Linked DNA regions of Arabidopsis thaliana. The protein of the gene in region 1 purifies or fractionates together with the protein of each later gene. This does not show direct contact. Each region holds a gene or a part of one and is shown on either strand. Other genes may lie near its edges.

The links.
Region 2: the proteins of SYP23 (region 1) and SGR4 fractionate together in Arabidopsis thaliana (co-fractionation; one study listed by BioGRID). This does not show direct contact.

What each region holds. Positions count from the first base shown.
Region 1 is NC_003075.7:9,861,986-9,869,475, reverse strand, and holds SYP23 (syntaxin of plants 23), read right to left. Parts: upstream 4,374-7,490; 5' UTR 4,126-4,373; coding exon 3,926-4,125; intron 3,837-3,925; coding exon 3,743-3,836; intron 3,661-3,742; coding exon 3,521-3,660; intron 3,449-3,520; coding exon 3,374-3,448; intron 3,293-3,373; coding exon 3,135-3,292; intron 3,052-3,134; coding exon 2,952-3,051; intron 2,842-2,951; coding exon of another isoform or gene 2,841-2,841; exon of another isoform or gene 2,781-2,840; coding exon 2,759-2,780; 3' UTR 2,454-2,758; downstream 1-2,453. Other genes in the region: AT4G17740 (Peptidase S41 family protein), read left to right, coding at 1-230, 327-476, 555-637, 725-933, 1,043-1,111, 1,183-1,301, 1,393-1,468, 1,545-1,586 and 4 more; AT4G17720 (RNA-binding (RRM/RBD/RNP motifs) family protein), read left to right, coding at 4,978-4,983, 5,630-5,733, 5,825-5,900, 5,988-6,068, 6,142-6,816; AT4G17718 (Defensin-like (DEFL) family protein), read left to right, coding at 7,481-7,490. UniProt on the Arabidopsis thaliana protein: May function in the docking or fusion of transport vesicles with the prevacuolar membrane.
Region 2 is NC_003076.8:15,816,991-15,825,454, forward strand, and holds SGR4 (Vesicle transport v-SNARE family protein), read left to right. Parts: upstream 1-4,302; 5' UTR 4,303-4,567; intron 4,568-5,017; 5' UTR 5,018-5,044; coding exon 5,045-5,138; intron 5,139-5,228; exon of another isoform or gene 5,229-5,447; intron 5,448-5,666; coding exon 5,667-5,725; intron 5,726-5,812; coding exon 5,813-6,001; intron 6,002-6,105; coding exon 6,106-6,276; intron 6,277-6,448; coding exon 6,449-6,601; 3' UTR 6,602-6,850; downstream 6,851-8,464. Other genes in the region: GNL1 (GNOM-like 1), read left to right, coding at 1-2,920; AT5G39520 (hypothetical protein (DUF1997)), read right to left, coding at 6,930-7,025, 7,122-7,319, 7,406-7,555, 8,094-8,180, 8,265-8,426. UniProt on the Arabidopsis thaliana protein: Functions as a v-SNARE responsible for targeting AtELP-containing vesicles from the trans-Golgi network (TGN) to the prevacuolar compartment (PVC) and mediates liposome fusion. May be also involved in retrograde traffic to the cis-Golgi.

The DNA.
Region 1 (7,490 bases):
TAGTCGTAGTAACATTTCAAGGAGCAATGCAGCAAACCCAGGAGTCGTGTTCGTCTGTAATAGATTTCTGTGTGTTATCGAAAGAAATGATCAGAGGAAATTATCTGGGAAGGTTATGATGAAATCTTCTGTTAATTTCAGACAGAATCTCTCTGTTGCATTAGTTCGGATCGTTTCTGTTCTGCTTGTCTCTTCCATTTCTGTTGTTACCACTGATTCACCACCATCATGTAAGTTCTGTTTTTTTTACATGTTGAGAAACCATATAAATTTCGGGGAATGCAATTTGATTTCATTTGTGTGGCTTTTTTTCTCTGTCTCTTTAGGGGGTCTTACTGAAGAGAATCTTCTCTTCCTCGAGGCTTGGAGAACAATTGATCGTGCTTATATTGATAAAACCTTTAATGGACAAAGCTGGTTTCGTTACAGAGAGACTGCTTTACGAAATGAGCCTATGAACACTCGAGAAGAGACATGTATGTGTGAATAGCTTTATTAACCTTTTACAAAATTAGTACAACTTGCTTCTAAATTTGGTGTTGGTTTGTGTTTAGACATGGCTATCAAGAAAATGGTGGCAACACTAGATGATCCTTTTACTCGATTCTTGGAGCCCGGAAAGTTCAAGAGTTTGCGGGTAAGATTTCCTGAAAATATACAGTTCTGAATTTAGCAAATAGACTGTATGTAAGATCTAGTAATTAAATGGTTTGGTTGAAGGCAGTCGGGGACTCAAGGGGCGGTTACGGGTGTTGGGCTGTCGATAGGTTACCCCACTGCATCAGATGGACCACCAGCTGGGCTTGTTGTTATATCAGCTGCTCCAGGAGGTCCTGCAAATAGGGCGGGGATATTACCTGGCGATGTTATTCAAGGAATTGATAATACAACCACAGAAACTCTTACCATATACGATGCTGCACAGATGTTGCAGTGAGTTACATTTCCATTTTTCATCATTCCTTAACTTTGAAAAATCTAAGTGTGACGAGTTAATGGTTCTGAAGTAAGAAATGATGATAATGCTTTGGTTGAAATGCAGGGGACCTGAAGGAAGTGCAGTGGAGCTAGCGATTCGCAGTGGACCTGAAACGAGACTCTTAACTTTGACGTATTTCTCTCATGCCTACATTTATCTTCGTTGTCACGTTCATTTGGTAACTACAATTGTTGTTATTTCAGGCGAGAGCGGGTTTCTGTGAATCCAGTGAAGTCAAGATTATGTGAACTTCCTGGTTCTGGGAGTAACTCCCCTAAGATTGGCTATATCAAGCTAACAACATTCAATCAAAATGCTTCTAGTATGTATTCTTTGGCATTACTGATTCCTTCTTACAAATTTATCTACTCTCTAGTTTATTATCTCTCAAAGTCTTAACACTTTTTTTGTAGGTGCGGTAAGGGAAGCTATTGAAACCTTGAGAGGCAACAATGTAAACGCATTCGTCTTGGACCTTCGAGACAATAGGTGATGATTTTTTGAGAACATAAACTCTTTTTTGCTTTTGCAACAGCCTTTCTTAAAAAAATTGTTCTTGCTGCAGTGGAGGTTCTTTCCCAGAAGGAATTGAGATTGCTAAATTTTGGTAATAACCTCATAAACCGTTACATATAACGAATTAGAAAATTTCAAGATCCACAGCTATCATAATAGAAACTTCAACATTTGCTATCCACAGGTTAGATAAAGGAGTGATTGTGTATATTTGCGATAGTCGAGGTGTTAGAGATATATATGATACTGATGGAAGCAATGCTATAGCAACCTCTGAGCCTCTTGCCGTTCTTGTATGAGCTTCCATCCTTCCTTTCCTCAAATCTAGTCCTTATTGTAATCTGTAAATGCCATGAAAGATTTCATTCTCACACAATCTTTCTCTTTTCCAGGTTAACAAAGGCACCGCGAGTGCCAGCGAGATATTAGCAGGTGCCTTGAAAGATAATAAACGTGCTCTGGTTTATGGAGAACCAACTTACGGAAAAGGGTAAACAAAATGGCGCTATTTTTTATTCTTCTTCTCAGAGACCGAACCGTAAAATTCCTGAGACTTTAACGCATTTTGCAGCAAGATACAGTCGGTTTTTGAGCTTTCTGATGGTTCGGGCTTGGCAGTAACAGTTGCTCGATATGAAACACCAGCTCACACAGATATAGACAAAGTATGAAACTACTTTCTTCCTGTAGTAACCCCCTCTGTGTCTACACTACACTACATACAAACATGTTCTTACAGTCTTGACTCGTTGCTGGTTGTTGTATAGGTCGGTGTAACTCCTGATCATCCATTGCCAAAGTCGTTTCCGAAAGATGAAGAGGCGTTCTGTGGATGCCTTAAGGATCCTACAGCTGCTTGTTATCTCAATCAAGGCCTACTTTTTTCTAGATGATTTTGTTTTGTTCAAACTTTGTTCTGACAACATATGACTAAAATTTATTGACTCAAGCTTTGTACTTTTGAAGATTCGCCATAGCTTTAGCTAATCGAAACCAGAAATTTCACATTTAAGAACACAAACAGAGGATTTTCCTTCAGAACCAAGTTATATTACAGAGACAAAGCAGTAACACTCTCTCCTTCAGAACCAAGACTCAGCAAACACAAGCCAAATCAAACCAAAGTGAACTACTCTATATACTCGATAACAAGAAACAAGAGACCAATAGTCCAACAGACTAAATTGTAGGAACAAAGAGAGTCGTGACAAACATATACTCATTGATGCTTCTTGATTGATGATGAAGCACTTGTCCATGCTTTTATGAGCTTGGGGAAATCAAACTGCGAGCACTATAATAACAATCATGAGCACGATACCAAAAATCACCAAGAGCAAGCACGTCTACAAGAAAAAGAAAAAACAATGGAAAGAAGAAGTTAGTAGGCTGATCTGATCATCCAAAATCCTCAAAAACACATTTCATGGTACGATCAAAAGCTTTAATATATTACCAGAGAAGAATTTGATCTTTGTGTCTTTGATGCCTTACGAGATGGGATTTTCCTTGGGCAGTTGCAGCGTAAGAGTTATCGATGTGAGTACCAATATCATCTACACAAAAATAGGTCTTACGTCTTAGGTTTTGAAGACATAAGTGAGAGTTTTAGCATAACAAGAGTTGGAATCAGTTTTACCTATCATGTTTCCTTGATCGTGCACCAACACTGCCAAGTCTTTGAAGATCTCGTGCACCTCGCCAATTTGCTGCTGAATTTCTTGTATCCCTTGCTCTCTTTCCTCAATAACAGCCTCATTGAACGCAATCTCATTGTCCAACAGTACAAGTTCTTGTCTGCAACAAAAAACAACAAACCAATCAATAGATAACTCATCAACCGAACAAAGATGGACACCATTGTCTGTATAAACTAACCTTTTTGATTCCACAAGAAGGGCACGCTGCTCTGGATGCTTATCTCCATTCACATCTATCTCACTGGATGTGTAGCTACATTACCAAAGCCAGGAAATCAATACACAAAACCACAAAAGTAAACATAAACCATCAATGAGCATTAACCTTGAGGGAAGAGATGGCTTGTGGACAAGAGGAGCATATACGGTTTCTCTTTCAGCAGCAAGACGCTGAGCCTTTTGAAACTCTTTCAACACAGCTTGAAAGTCCTTTGCAAGCTTAGCATCCACAATCTTCTTCTTTTGCTAACCAACCAATCAAATTCCTATTAATCAACAGAAGTAGCAGAAGAAGAACAAGAATCTTCCTTTATCATAAATGACTCACATTTACACCTCTTTGATGATCAGTTTCACTAGCTTCTTTAAGTTTAGCTGATGTATCTTTCACTAACTGTCCAATATATAATCTTGTCTTATGCCTAAAACAAGCAAATTGACTCAATTAGAAACAATTTCAAGTACCCTAAAACTCAAAAAGGAGATAACTTTAACTTTGAGAAGTACTTACAGCTTCTCTCTGAGCTCAGGCGTATCTTTAGGAGTACCAAGAGTATTGACAAGACGATGGAAAGTGGAAACACTTGTATTGATCTGAAATATACCAGAAGCAACATCTTGAGTCGTGTCTTGTCTACTACCACCACCATTGATGTTCCTTGAAGAAGCTAATGATCTTCCTCTTCCCGCCTCTAAATCTTGAAAACTCATTCTTTCTCTCTCTTTCTCGAAAACCCCGCCACTAAATTATCCTCTTTTATTCGCCCAAGAAAACAAAGCAACAACAAAATTCGATTTACAGTCGATAACGGAGATCGAGGGAAGAGAGGATGTGATGGTGATTTCAAGATTCCCCGGTGAGTTTCTCTCTCTCCGGACAGATTGAGAAAAAACGTGAACCGCGGAGAGAGAGATTGAGCAAAACGTGAAATGTCACATTACCTGTATGAACGGAAAAAGCTTGTACTTTTTTCATTTTTTGATCCTTAACTTTTCTATAATATTCCAAACGTGACTCTATAGTTTAGAATCTTAACGGTATATCCTCCTTTTATTATAAAGTGATAAATGGTCTACGATGATTACATTGCTCTGAGCTCAGGACACGTGGATGGTAGACATTGGTGGAGAAAGTGATTATGTCACGACGTTAATTGATTATTTTAACCAAGATACTAACAGATTACGGATTAATTAGAATTAGATTAAGGATTATGATAGATTAGTCCAGAATTTAATGAATAAAATCTCTAGATAGAACTTTACGTGACTAAAAAGGGTCAAAAGCAAAAGAAGTTTAAAATTAGGACTCTTTTTTAATCATCGCACGTGAGAAGGTTCCGACCATATCACGTGCCAAACCCGAATAAGACTCGTTTTTCCAAGGCGTTTAAAATCAGGTCCCACTTTTTTCTTTTATTTTTCACTCTTCTTCACATCAAATCCGCGACCAGAGATTTTTCTTTCCTTTGATTTTTCGTTTCGTTTCGTTTCAAATATTGTTCCTCCTGTGTGAAGGAAAAACAATCTTCCATTTCAATCCGCGTCAACGCGATTTTCTTCATGACGGTGAGCTTATCTAATCTCTTCGCTTTTTGAAACTAGTTAGTTTTGGTTTTTGTTTTGGATTTATCCTGAGAAAGGTCGATGTTTTTGCTGTTGATTTGATTGAGGAAGATGTGAACAGATCTGTTGATTTTGATTGTTGTTTTCTAATTTGTTTTGCGAGAAATGGCGTTGATTATTAGTGAAGAATCGCTAGTTTTTTTATTTTAGAGGATTTGAAGCTGTTCTCTGTTTTTGATTTGGGTGAAAATTACTGTTTCTGATATGAAGAAATTTTTTTTTAGGGTAAAATTGCTTTTGTTTGGATTAGGATATTCACTTTAGCATTTGTTTTGTTTTGTAATCTGTTAATATCTGATCTGTGCCATAGGATTAGTTTTGAGACAAGTATTTGCTTTTCCTAGATTCTGAGGTTCTTTTTATCTTCTTGTATTGATGATGCAATGTTTCTGTGTTTTCTGATCATTGTATTGATAATATTGGTTGCTTTAGGAGTGTGTGTGTGTGTGTTTAGTCATTGTTTTAGGCGATAAGGAATCGAGAAATGTGTAATCGAACAACTAATGAATAAGTCTGAGATTTTGTTTAGCTGGTGAAATGGTTTGAAATTTTAGTTTTTAAGTCACACGAGATTATATTTCACTTGCAGATGACAACAGTTAAAGTGAGCAATGTTTCTCTAGGAGCAACCGATAGAGATCTCAAGGAGTTCTTTTCCTTTTCTGGCGATATTCTGTACCTTGAGACGCAGAGGTTTGGTTTCCTCTCTATTGTTCCTTTTGAAAGTTTTAGATTACAGCTTTTAGTTCGTCAGGTTCTTAACTCTTTTGACATGTTTGTACAGCGAGACTGAGCGGACTAAACTGGCATATGTCACTTTTAAGGATCTACAAGGAGCTGAAACTGCGGTTCTTCTCTCGGTATTTTTACTTCTTAGCCTGTATTAGTTCCTCTATATGACTGTATCCTTTGAGTGACTGAGTATTAATGTAATTCTTTCATTTCAGGGAGCAACGATTGTTGATTCTTCAGTCATTGTCTCTATGGCTCCTGATTACCAACTGTCCCCTGAGGCTTTAGCTTCCTTGGTAAGCTCGTAATTCATCATCTCTTCTGAGTTTTTTCACAAGTTAAAATCTTACCATTTCATCTTTTTCACAGGAACCCAAGGACAGCAATAAATCTCCCAAGGCAGGTGACTCCGTGTTGAGAAAAGCCGAAGATGTTGTGAGCAGCATGCTTGCAAAGGGCTTTATCCTGGGAAAAGATGCCATAGCTAAAGCCAAAAGTGTTGACGAGAAGCACCAGCTAACATCTACAGCATCAGCCAAAGTCGCATCTTTTGACAAGAAAATTGGTTTCACTGATAAGATCAACACAGGCACGGTGGTAGTGGGAGAAAAGGTCAGGGAAGTTGATCAGAAGTACCAAGTCTCAGAGAAAACCAAATCAGCAATCGCTGCAGCGGAGCAGACAGTGAGCAATGCAGGTTCAGCTATAATGAAGAACCGGTATGTTCTCACAGGTGCCACGTGGGTTACTGGAGCATTCAACAAAGTTGCTAAAGCTGCAGAAGAAGTTGGACAAAAGGCTAAAGAGAAAGTTGGTATGGCTGAGGAAGAGGATAAGAGGAAAGTGGTTGATGAGTTTGCTAGAGTTCACTTGTCTGAATCACCAAAGGCAGCTTCATCAACGCAAGAAGCCGAACGTGAATCAAAACTCTCTGAATCTCCTGAAGCAAAGAAAGATTCTGAACATCTTGAGCCACAATCGAAACCATTGCAGCAACAATCTCCTCCACCTATGGCTTCAGCTCCTGCTCCGGCTCAACCTTGAGATATGCAATCAAAGACCTTTCTGATTCTTGTTGTAAACGGTAAAACTTGGAACTAATCTCTCTCAGATTGTTGAAGATGAAGATTGAACTTGTTATTTAGGACGAAGACTTGTGTTCTTGTAACATTGGATTCATGGTCGATTTGGTAATTAGACCTTAAAAAGAAAACAATTTTGTTCTTTTCGTTTTTCTTAAACTTATTTAAACCGGGCTAATCATCATGGTTAACTGAACCAAATACCGATCGATTTTTATTTTAAAATCAAAAATTTGATTAGAGCAATTAGCCCGTCAAGTGATTTTATGTAACTGAAAGTAACAAACCAAAGTAGATGTTACAAACACATTTGACAGGAAACGCTTTGTCGGTGATCTAAGAACTCTAATTATAAGAAGATTTTAAGCACTTTAAATTCAAAGAAGTATCAATTAAGAATAAATGTATATATTGACATTTGACAAAACTAAAGGAATAAAATCTCGACCAGTTAAACGCATTTATCAAAATATTTTGTTCTCAAGTGAAAAAAGAACAGATTTATTCATGGTATAAAAGGAAAAAGACAATTCGTTTTCTCACAATTATATATTGTTTGTAAACACATCATCTTAATTGTGCAAACAATATCAAAATTATACAAATAGAAAAGAGCACAGAAAAAAATGGAGAAGT
Region 2 (8,464 bases), on another chromosome or scaffold:
TATAACTTGCAGTAATGTGTTTGAAGATGTTTCAAACCTGCTATCAAAGAATGCCTTCCCAGTTAATGGGCCTTTATCTGCTATGCATATACTTGCATTGGATGGGTTAATTTCTATGGTTCAGGGAATGGCTGAGAGAGTGGGTGAAGAATTGCCGGCTTCAGATGTTCCTACACATGAAGAACGATATGAAGAATTCTGGACAGTGAGATGTGAGAATTACGGAGATCCTAATTTTTGGGTTCCCTTTGTCCGAAAGGTCAAGCATATAAAGAAAAAGCTGATGCTTGGGGCTGATCGTTTTAACCGTGATCCTAATAAAGGCTTACAGTATCTTCAAGGGGTGCACTTGTTGCCCGAGAAACTTGATCCAAAGAGTGTGGCATGTTTCTTCAGGTATACATGTGGGTTAGATAAGAATGTTATGGGAGATTTCCTCGGAAATCATGACCAGTTCTGTATTCAGGTGCTTCATGAGTTTGCCAAGACGTTCGACTTCCAGAACATGAATCTTGCTACAGCCCTGCGTCTTTTTGTGGGTACCTTTAAATTGTCTGGCGAGGCACAGAAGATACACAGGGTACTGGAGGCGTTTTCTGAGAGATACTATGAGCAGTCACCACACATACTGATTGATAAAGATGCTGCCTTCGTGTTAGCTTACTCGATTATCTTGCTGAACACAGATCAGCACAACGCCCAGGTGAAAACAAGGATGACTGAAGAAGATTTCATCCGTAACAACAGGACAATAAATGGAGGCGCAGACCTTCCTAGAGAGTACCTATCTGAGATTTATCACTCAATCCGCCACAGTGAGATTCAGATGGACGAAGATAAAGGAACCGGCTTCCAACTGATGACAGCCAGTCGTTGGATTAGTGTGATTTACAAATCCAAAGAAACGAGTCCCTATATCCAATGTGACGCAGCATCCCATCTGGACCGTGACATGTTTTATATCGTGTCTGGTCCCACTATTGCTGCTACATCAGTGGTTTTTGAGCAAGCAGAGCAAGAAGATGTTTTGCGGAGATGTATTGATGGGTTATTGGCCATTGCAAAACTTTCAGCATATTATCATTTGAATAGTGTTTTGGATGATCTGGTCGTGTCTCTCTGCAAATTCACACCCTTCTTCGCCCCATTATCTGCTGATGAAGCTGTTCTTGTTCTAGGAGAAGATGCCAGAGCCAGAATGGCTACTGAAGCTGTTTTCTTGATTGCAAATAAATATGGTGACTATATTAGTGCGGGCTGGAAAAACATACTGGAATGTGTCTTGAGCCTCAACAAACTCCACATTTTACCAGATCATATAGCTAGTGATGCAGCGGATGACCCAGAGCTGTCAACTAGTAACTTGGAGCAAGAAAAACCTTCGGCAAATCCCGTGCCAGTCGTATCACAGTCACAACCCTCAGCGATGCCTCGAAAATCATCTAGTTTTATTGGTCGGTTTCTTCTGTCTTTTGATTCTGAGGAAACAAAGCCATTACCAAGCGAGGAAGAATTGGCAGCTTATAAACACGCTCGTGGGATAGTGAAAGATTGTCATATTGATAGCATATTCTCAGACAGCAAGTTTCTCCAAGCTGAGTCTCTGCAGCAGCTTGTTAACTCTCTTATAAGAGCATCCGGGAAAGATGAAGCTAGTTCGGTCTTTTGCCTGGAGCTTCTGATTGCGGTAACGCTGAACAACCGAGACAGAATCCTACTGATTTGGCCAACAGTTTATGAGCATATCTTGGGTATAGTTCAATTAACATTAACACCATGCACGCTTGTTGAAAAGGCTGTTTTTGGTGTACTGAAGATTTGCCAGAGATTATTACCATACAAGGAAAACCTAACAGATGAACTTCTGAAATCACTCCAACTGGTTCTCAAGCTGAAAGCAAAAGTGGCTGATGCATACTGTGAACGCATTGCACAAGAAGTTGTTCGTCTTGTAAAAGCAAACGCATCTCACGTTAGATCCCGTACTGGTTGGCGAACGATTATATCTCTGCTATCAATCACAGCTCGGCATCCAGAAGCTTCTGAAGCTGGATTCGAAGCCCTCCGGTTTATAATGTCAGAAGGAGCTCACTTGTTACCATCAAACTACGAGCTCTGTTTGGATGCAGCCAGTCACTTTGCTGAATCCCGAGTTGGTGAAGTCGATCGGTCTATCTCAGCAATTGACTTAATGTCAAACTCTGTGTTTTGTCTTGCAAGATGGTCTCAAGAGGCGAAAAACTCGATTGGTGAAACTGATGCTATGATGAAACTAAGTGAAGATATTGGAAAAATGTGGCTCAAACTTGTGAAGAACCTCAAAAAAGTATGTCTTGATCAACGCGACGAAGTGAGAAACCATGCAATCTCAATGCTGCAACGAGCTATAGCCGGTGCAGACGGGATCATGTTACCACAACCTCTATGGTTCCAATGCTTTGATTCCGCAGTCTTCATATTGCTAGACGATGTGCTCACTTTTTCGATCGAGAATTCAAGGAAGACTCTCAAGAAAACAGTGGAAGAAACGCTTGTTCTCGCCACAAAGCTCATGTCAAAAGCTTTTCTGCAATCTCTTCAAGACATCTCACAGCAACCATCATTCTGCAGACTTTGGGTTGGTGTCTTAAACCGTTTGGAAACGTACATGTCAACTGAATTCAGAGGAAAACGCAGCGAGAAAGTCAATGAACTCATCCCGGAACTGCTCAAGAACACATTACTGGTAATGAAGGCGACGGGAGTTTTATTACCAGGTGATGATATCGGAAGTGACAGTTTCTGGCAACTAACGTGGCTTCACGTTAATAAGATCTCTCCTTCTCTTCAATCTGAAGTTTTCCCTCAAGAGGAGCTTGATCAGTTTCAGAGACGAAACGCGAAGCCTGAGGATCCTCCGGTACCGGGAAATGAGGTCTGAGACGGTTTTGGTGGAATAGAGAAAATTTGTTCTATACAGATGAAAAAGCTTAATCAAGGATATCAATTTTTTTTTTGCAGTATAGCTTTTTTGTTTTTAATATAGGGGGATTATAATACTTTGGAGTCTTGAGCTTTTGTTTTTTTTATGGAATGTTATGTTGAAATTATGGGTTTGATTGGAAATATATTTGGAGGCAATTTGGAAACTGCTGCGTCTATTATACAAAGAACTTGAAAAATTCAATGGTACTGACAAAGAAAAATGGTACTCATCAAAACCAGAAAAGAAAAGTAAATTTTTGGTCCAAATCTCACTATTTTAATAACATTTTTTAAAAACAAAGAATTAAGAACAAAAACAAAATGACCTATAAAATTTTGGACTCTAATTCTTGGCTTGTGTGACTTTATTAACAGTTAAATATTACAAATTTTCAAACTCTTAAAAATTTAAACTTTATAAAACGTTTTAAATATTTATAATTTATAAACTTTATGAAGTTTTAAATATTATAAATATTTGTTATAATTTTGAATGTTATAAATTTATAAACGAAAAGAACTTGAAAAATTCAATGAAAACGAGTAACGACAAAGAAAAATGATAATCATCAAAACCAAATCTCAATATTTTAATAACATTTAAAGTTTTTAAAAAACCCAAAAAATTAACTAGTAGGCCTGGGCATAATACCCGGAACCGAATATCCGAACCGAAAAACCCGAAAAATAACCAAACCGAACCCGAATCCGATTTTTAGAATTACCCGAATGGGTCCTCGACCTTACTACCCGAAAAAACCCGAACCGAACCCGAACCGAATCTAATACCCGTGGGTACCCGAATACGAATGTAACTTAAATATATTAGTTATATATATATATTTGTAATACCTCAAATACCAAAATTAAAATTATAAATCCGATTATACTAGATTTTTTTAGTAATTCATATATATTTGGATATATTTGGGTAAAAGTAACAAATGTTATAGTTTTCTTTTAGATAATTTAAGTATTTTGGTTACATTTGGTTATATTTGTATAAAAAGTAACCAATATATTTACGGGTAATTGGGTATTTCGGGTTGATTTGGGTATATATGAATAAAAAAACCGAATCTAACCCGAACCCAAAAATATTTTGGGTATTTTTGGTTATTTTTACATTTTTACTAAAATAACCGAACCGACCCAAACCCGAACCGAAACCGAACCGAATTTTTAGAATACTCGAATGGTTCTCAACCTCCTACCCGAATAGACCCAATACCCGGAAAAAAAAACGAACCCGAACGGGTACCCGAATGCCCACGCCTCAATTAAGAACAGAAAAAGAAAAAAACTAACTTTCAGTGACCTATAAAAGTTTGGGCCCTAGAAGAGTCTTTTCGCAACACCAAAAATGGCAGATCCGCAAGCCCAACAAGGCAGTGGCATTGCCAAAAGATCTGGACAAAAAAAAGGCCAAGTGGTGTACAAAGCCTAGATGTAGGATATAATTACTCAACCGTCGAACATATTTTCCATAGATCATTCATAGACGTACGCATCATCAAATCAATTCATCGTCGTCTTCCACAATTGTCATCACCGATCGATTTTCCGACTCCGACGTACCTCCTCTTCCCCGTTACCTTCTCAGGTCTCAATCTGGCTTTCTCTATTTTTCGCCTAATTCCTCTTTTTCTGATTGTGATTCTGCTTTCTAATTTTGATCCTAATTTTTTGTGCTTATACTCCGGCTAAACTCTTCCATTTGTTCCGATCACCGGAATTTTCGTCACTTATTCGTCATCCTTTTTCTCTTTTGATCCGTCAATTTTACTTTTCTGTCTTTTTTTTTTCTCCTTTTTCCCCGTGTTGACATTTCTTTCTTCTGTACGTGATCTAGTTATCTTAGGGTTTTGGACTGCTATACAAAACAATCAATTGATTTTAGTTTTATCTTTTGAATCGTTGTAAGAATTTCAATAGCCTAGTCTTGTTGATGGTTTTGGGCTATTGAATCTGTTCTTAAAGTTTCAGCTTAATGTAATCTGTTCTTAATCAGAATTAGGGTTCATCATCATTGTGTGTGTTGCTGATTCTGCAGAGTTTTTAGTAGTCTTCCTTTGGAACAATGAGTGACGTGTTTGATGGATATGAGCGACAATACTGTGAGCTCTCGGCGAGTCTTTCAAAGAAGTGTTCCTCTGCTATTTCGCTTGATGGAGGTAAAATTGTTACTCTAATCTTTTCTAAGATGTGATACTTTTCCTACTCAGGCATTGCCTTACCTTCCTTAAGATTTGAAATAACTAATTCTGGTTTAGCTTATGAATGTAACAATGTACGAATTAGAGATATCTTGGTTTGTGTTTTTGATGCAGAGTATTGTGCGATTTAGATCCTTTAATTACTACTTCGTTGTAAGGACATAGTATTGGTTTCTGATTACGAAGAGAGCTTGTGATTAGTATTGGTCGCTGATCATCGCCATTTTTTTACACTGGGGATACTTCGGTTTTTGTTTGTTACTGAGAACGATTCTATAGATAGTTTGGTTTGTGTTTGATGACTATAAACTTCTTGTCTCCTTCATGTGTTGCTAGGACATAGTAGTGTGCCTTTCTTTTGCTTTCTTTGGAGATTGTGATTAGTAGTGTTCGCTGATCATCGGGATTGTTTTTTTTCCCCTAGATGAGTATGCTCTGTTGATTGCATAGATAAAAATGCATTGATGATACCTTATTAATTTGCAGAACAAAAGAAGCAGAAGTTGTCTGAAATAAAATCCGGGCTGGAAAATGCAGAAGTATTGGTATGTGATATGCGTAACGTGAAGTTATAGAAGCTTCTCTATTGTCCATTATTCATTTTGATGCTTCTCTGTCCTTTTCTTCACCAGATTAGGAAAATGGATCTCGAGGCAAGGACCCTTCCACCTAATCTTAAGTCCAGCCTCCTTGTCAAATTAAGAGAATTCAAGTCTGATCTGAACAATTTCAAAACTGAAGTGAAGAGAATCACATCTGGACAGTTGAACGCTGCTGCTCGTGATGAGTTGCTAGAAGCTGGTATGGCTGACACAAAGACGGTATGTAAAGGACTCGGTAGTATTGTTTCAATTTTATCTCATCTCATATCTTTGCTATTAAAACGACCTATGATTTTCTTTTTTTATTGAAACGCTGAGATCAGGCTTCAGCTGATCAGAGAGCAAGATTGATGATGTCAACTGAGCGTCTGGGCCGAACCACTGACAGAGTCAAGGACAGTCGTAGAACAATGATGGAGACTGAAGAAATCGGTGTTTCAATCCTCCAAGACTTGCACGGTCAGAGACAGTCTCTCTTACGTGCCCACGAAACGGTATTGTCTCTCTGCAACACATTTACTCCATATTCTCAACGATATTCTGAACAAAGTGACAAAATAAGATGAGAATTAAGGGCTATATCATAAAGAAGACTATGTTTTCTTGTTTTCTTTATCAACGCTGGATTGATATCGCGCTAACCAAAATTTAGAACTCTGTTGACAGCTTCATGGAGTAGACGATAACATTGGAAAGAGCAAGAAGATCTTGACAGACATGACGAGGAGGATGAACAAGAACAAATGGACCATTGGAGCCATCATCATCGCATTGATTGCCGCCATTTTCATCATCTTGTACTTCAAACTCACCAAGTAAGCCTCTGTAACTAAATCCGACCAAATCAAAGAACAACGGTTGTTTTCGTTTTGTGAGTCTTTGATTTATCCTGTTTCTTCTTTTTGTGTGAAAAGTTGTTTTGCCACCTTTGTATTCTAAATTTGACCATACATACTTTAAGCAAGTAAAGCTTCGGCCTAAGTGTCACGTATATTGTTTATATTGTTCATATCAAATCCAGAACTATACATGGTTAAACATTGAGATTAAAAGCCTCAATTATTTCAAACAATCGAGGTCTACATCTCGCACAATTGTTCATATATTGGATCTAGAACTATACATGATCAAACATTGATATCAATTACTAGTGTTTTTTTCTTTCATATTTGAATTTGCTATAATCAGCGACCAAGCTCTCAATAACCCTATGCTTCATGTTATCCACCAAACCGGCCAAAATCTGTAAAGGGCCAATCAAAAACATAAATCATGTATAAACCCGGAACACAGCATTTTGAGTCTCCAATCGCATATATGAAACAAGACAGTTTCTTACCGCATTGGCCATGTTTCTCCTAACATCTTCTGGTACAAGCGCGAGAACTGAAGGAAGCACGAAGCTAATGGTCGTTTCTAGTCGACCTTTGAGCCTCGTGTGCCTTCCACGCCGGTCTGGGTATAATGCTCCTTTTACTCCAAGAGTGAAATCAGTTGGTTCCATTACTCGGTCAAGCCCTTGAAGCTCCCATTTCGTCTGAAAATCGTAATTCAAATGTTAAATCAATAAAAATTCTGACTAGTGAATTTGTGATTCATGTGGTGGTACAAATATAATATTACCATGTTGAGCTCAAGAACTTTGGTTATGTGTAGAGGTACGTCTGATGGGTAATCCTGACCGTTGGATTTGCATCTAATCCGCATGACCACCACTGGACACGCAGTGAGGAAGAAAAATTTTATTGGTAACATTTGGATTCTCCATTCTTCCTGCACAATAATTTCATCCGTAAGTAACAAAGCCTCAAAAAATAAACATAGTTAAAAAACATGAGGTAAGGAAAATCAAAACATGCTACTAGCAATGATGTTACATTCCAATAATTCAATGGGGACCTCTTGACAACAAGAATAATATCAAAATCTTAAAGAGATTTTACTGGTTTGTGACTTTGTGTATCTTGTTTCATTTCTCTTATGGATATATGTAATTTTATATATAGGTTTCTAAGAACTTACTAGGACACAACTAAGATTTGTGTATTCTTTTGTAACTACGAAACAATAGAAATTTCTATAAATTTATTTTTAATCCTTAATTGAATACAATTGATACTATTGAGGATTATAAATCCTTAATTATTTTGTTATTTTCACTATCACCAAAATTTGAAAGTCGATGGTCGAAAAACTCAAAAAGATTTATCAATTTTTCGAATCACTAAAAATTAAATAATCAAATAGAATAAACACTTTTAATCACATGCCTTGGAGTAAAAGTAAGTAAAGGAGTCTTGAAGAATGGTACCTCATTAAGCCTATAGTTTTTGGGTTTATCCGGAAACATTGCTTCGAAAACCCTTGATTTGTCTTCCAAATATTCATCAAACAAGGCCTGCAAAGATCGGCAAGAGATTCGATATTAAAACATTCATGTGTGTACACATATACAGACCCTATTATAGAATGAGAAAGAGACCTGAGGAGACTCGTGGAGAGCGATATCGGTTGATATTTTAGAGGAATACTTGGCGGATTTTACAGGTGACAAGTGACACTTCACTCTCCACCGTTTTGATCTAACCTGCCCACAACTTCCGATCATCCCCGGGCATGAATACACCGCAGAGCTTACCGCCATTTCACCAAGATTGGATCTTTGATCTTTCCCACATATCT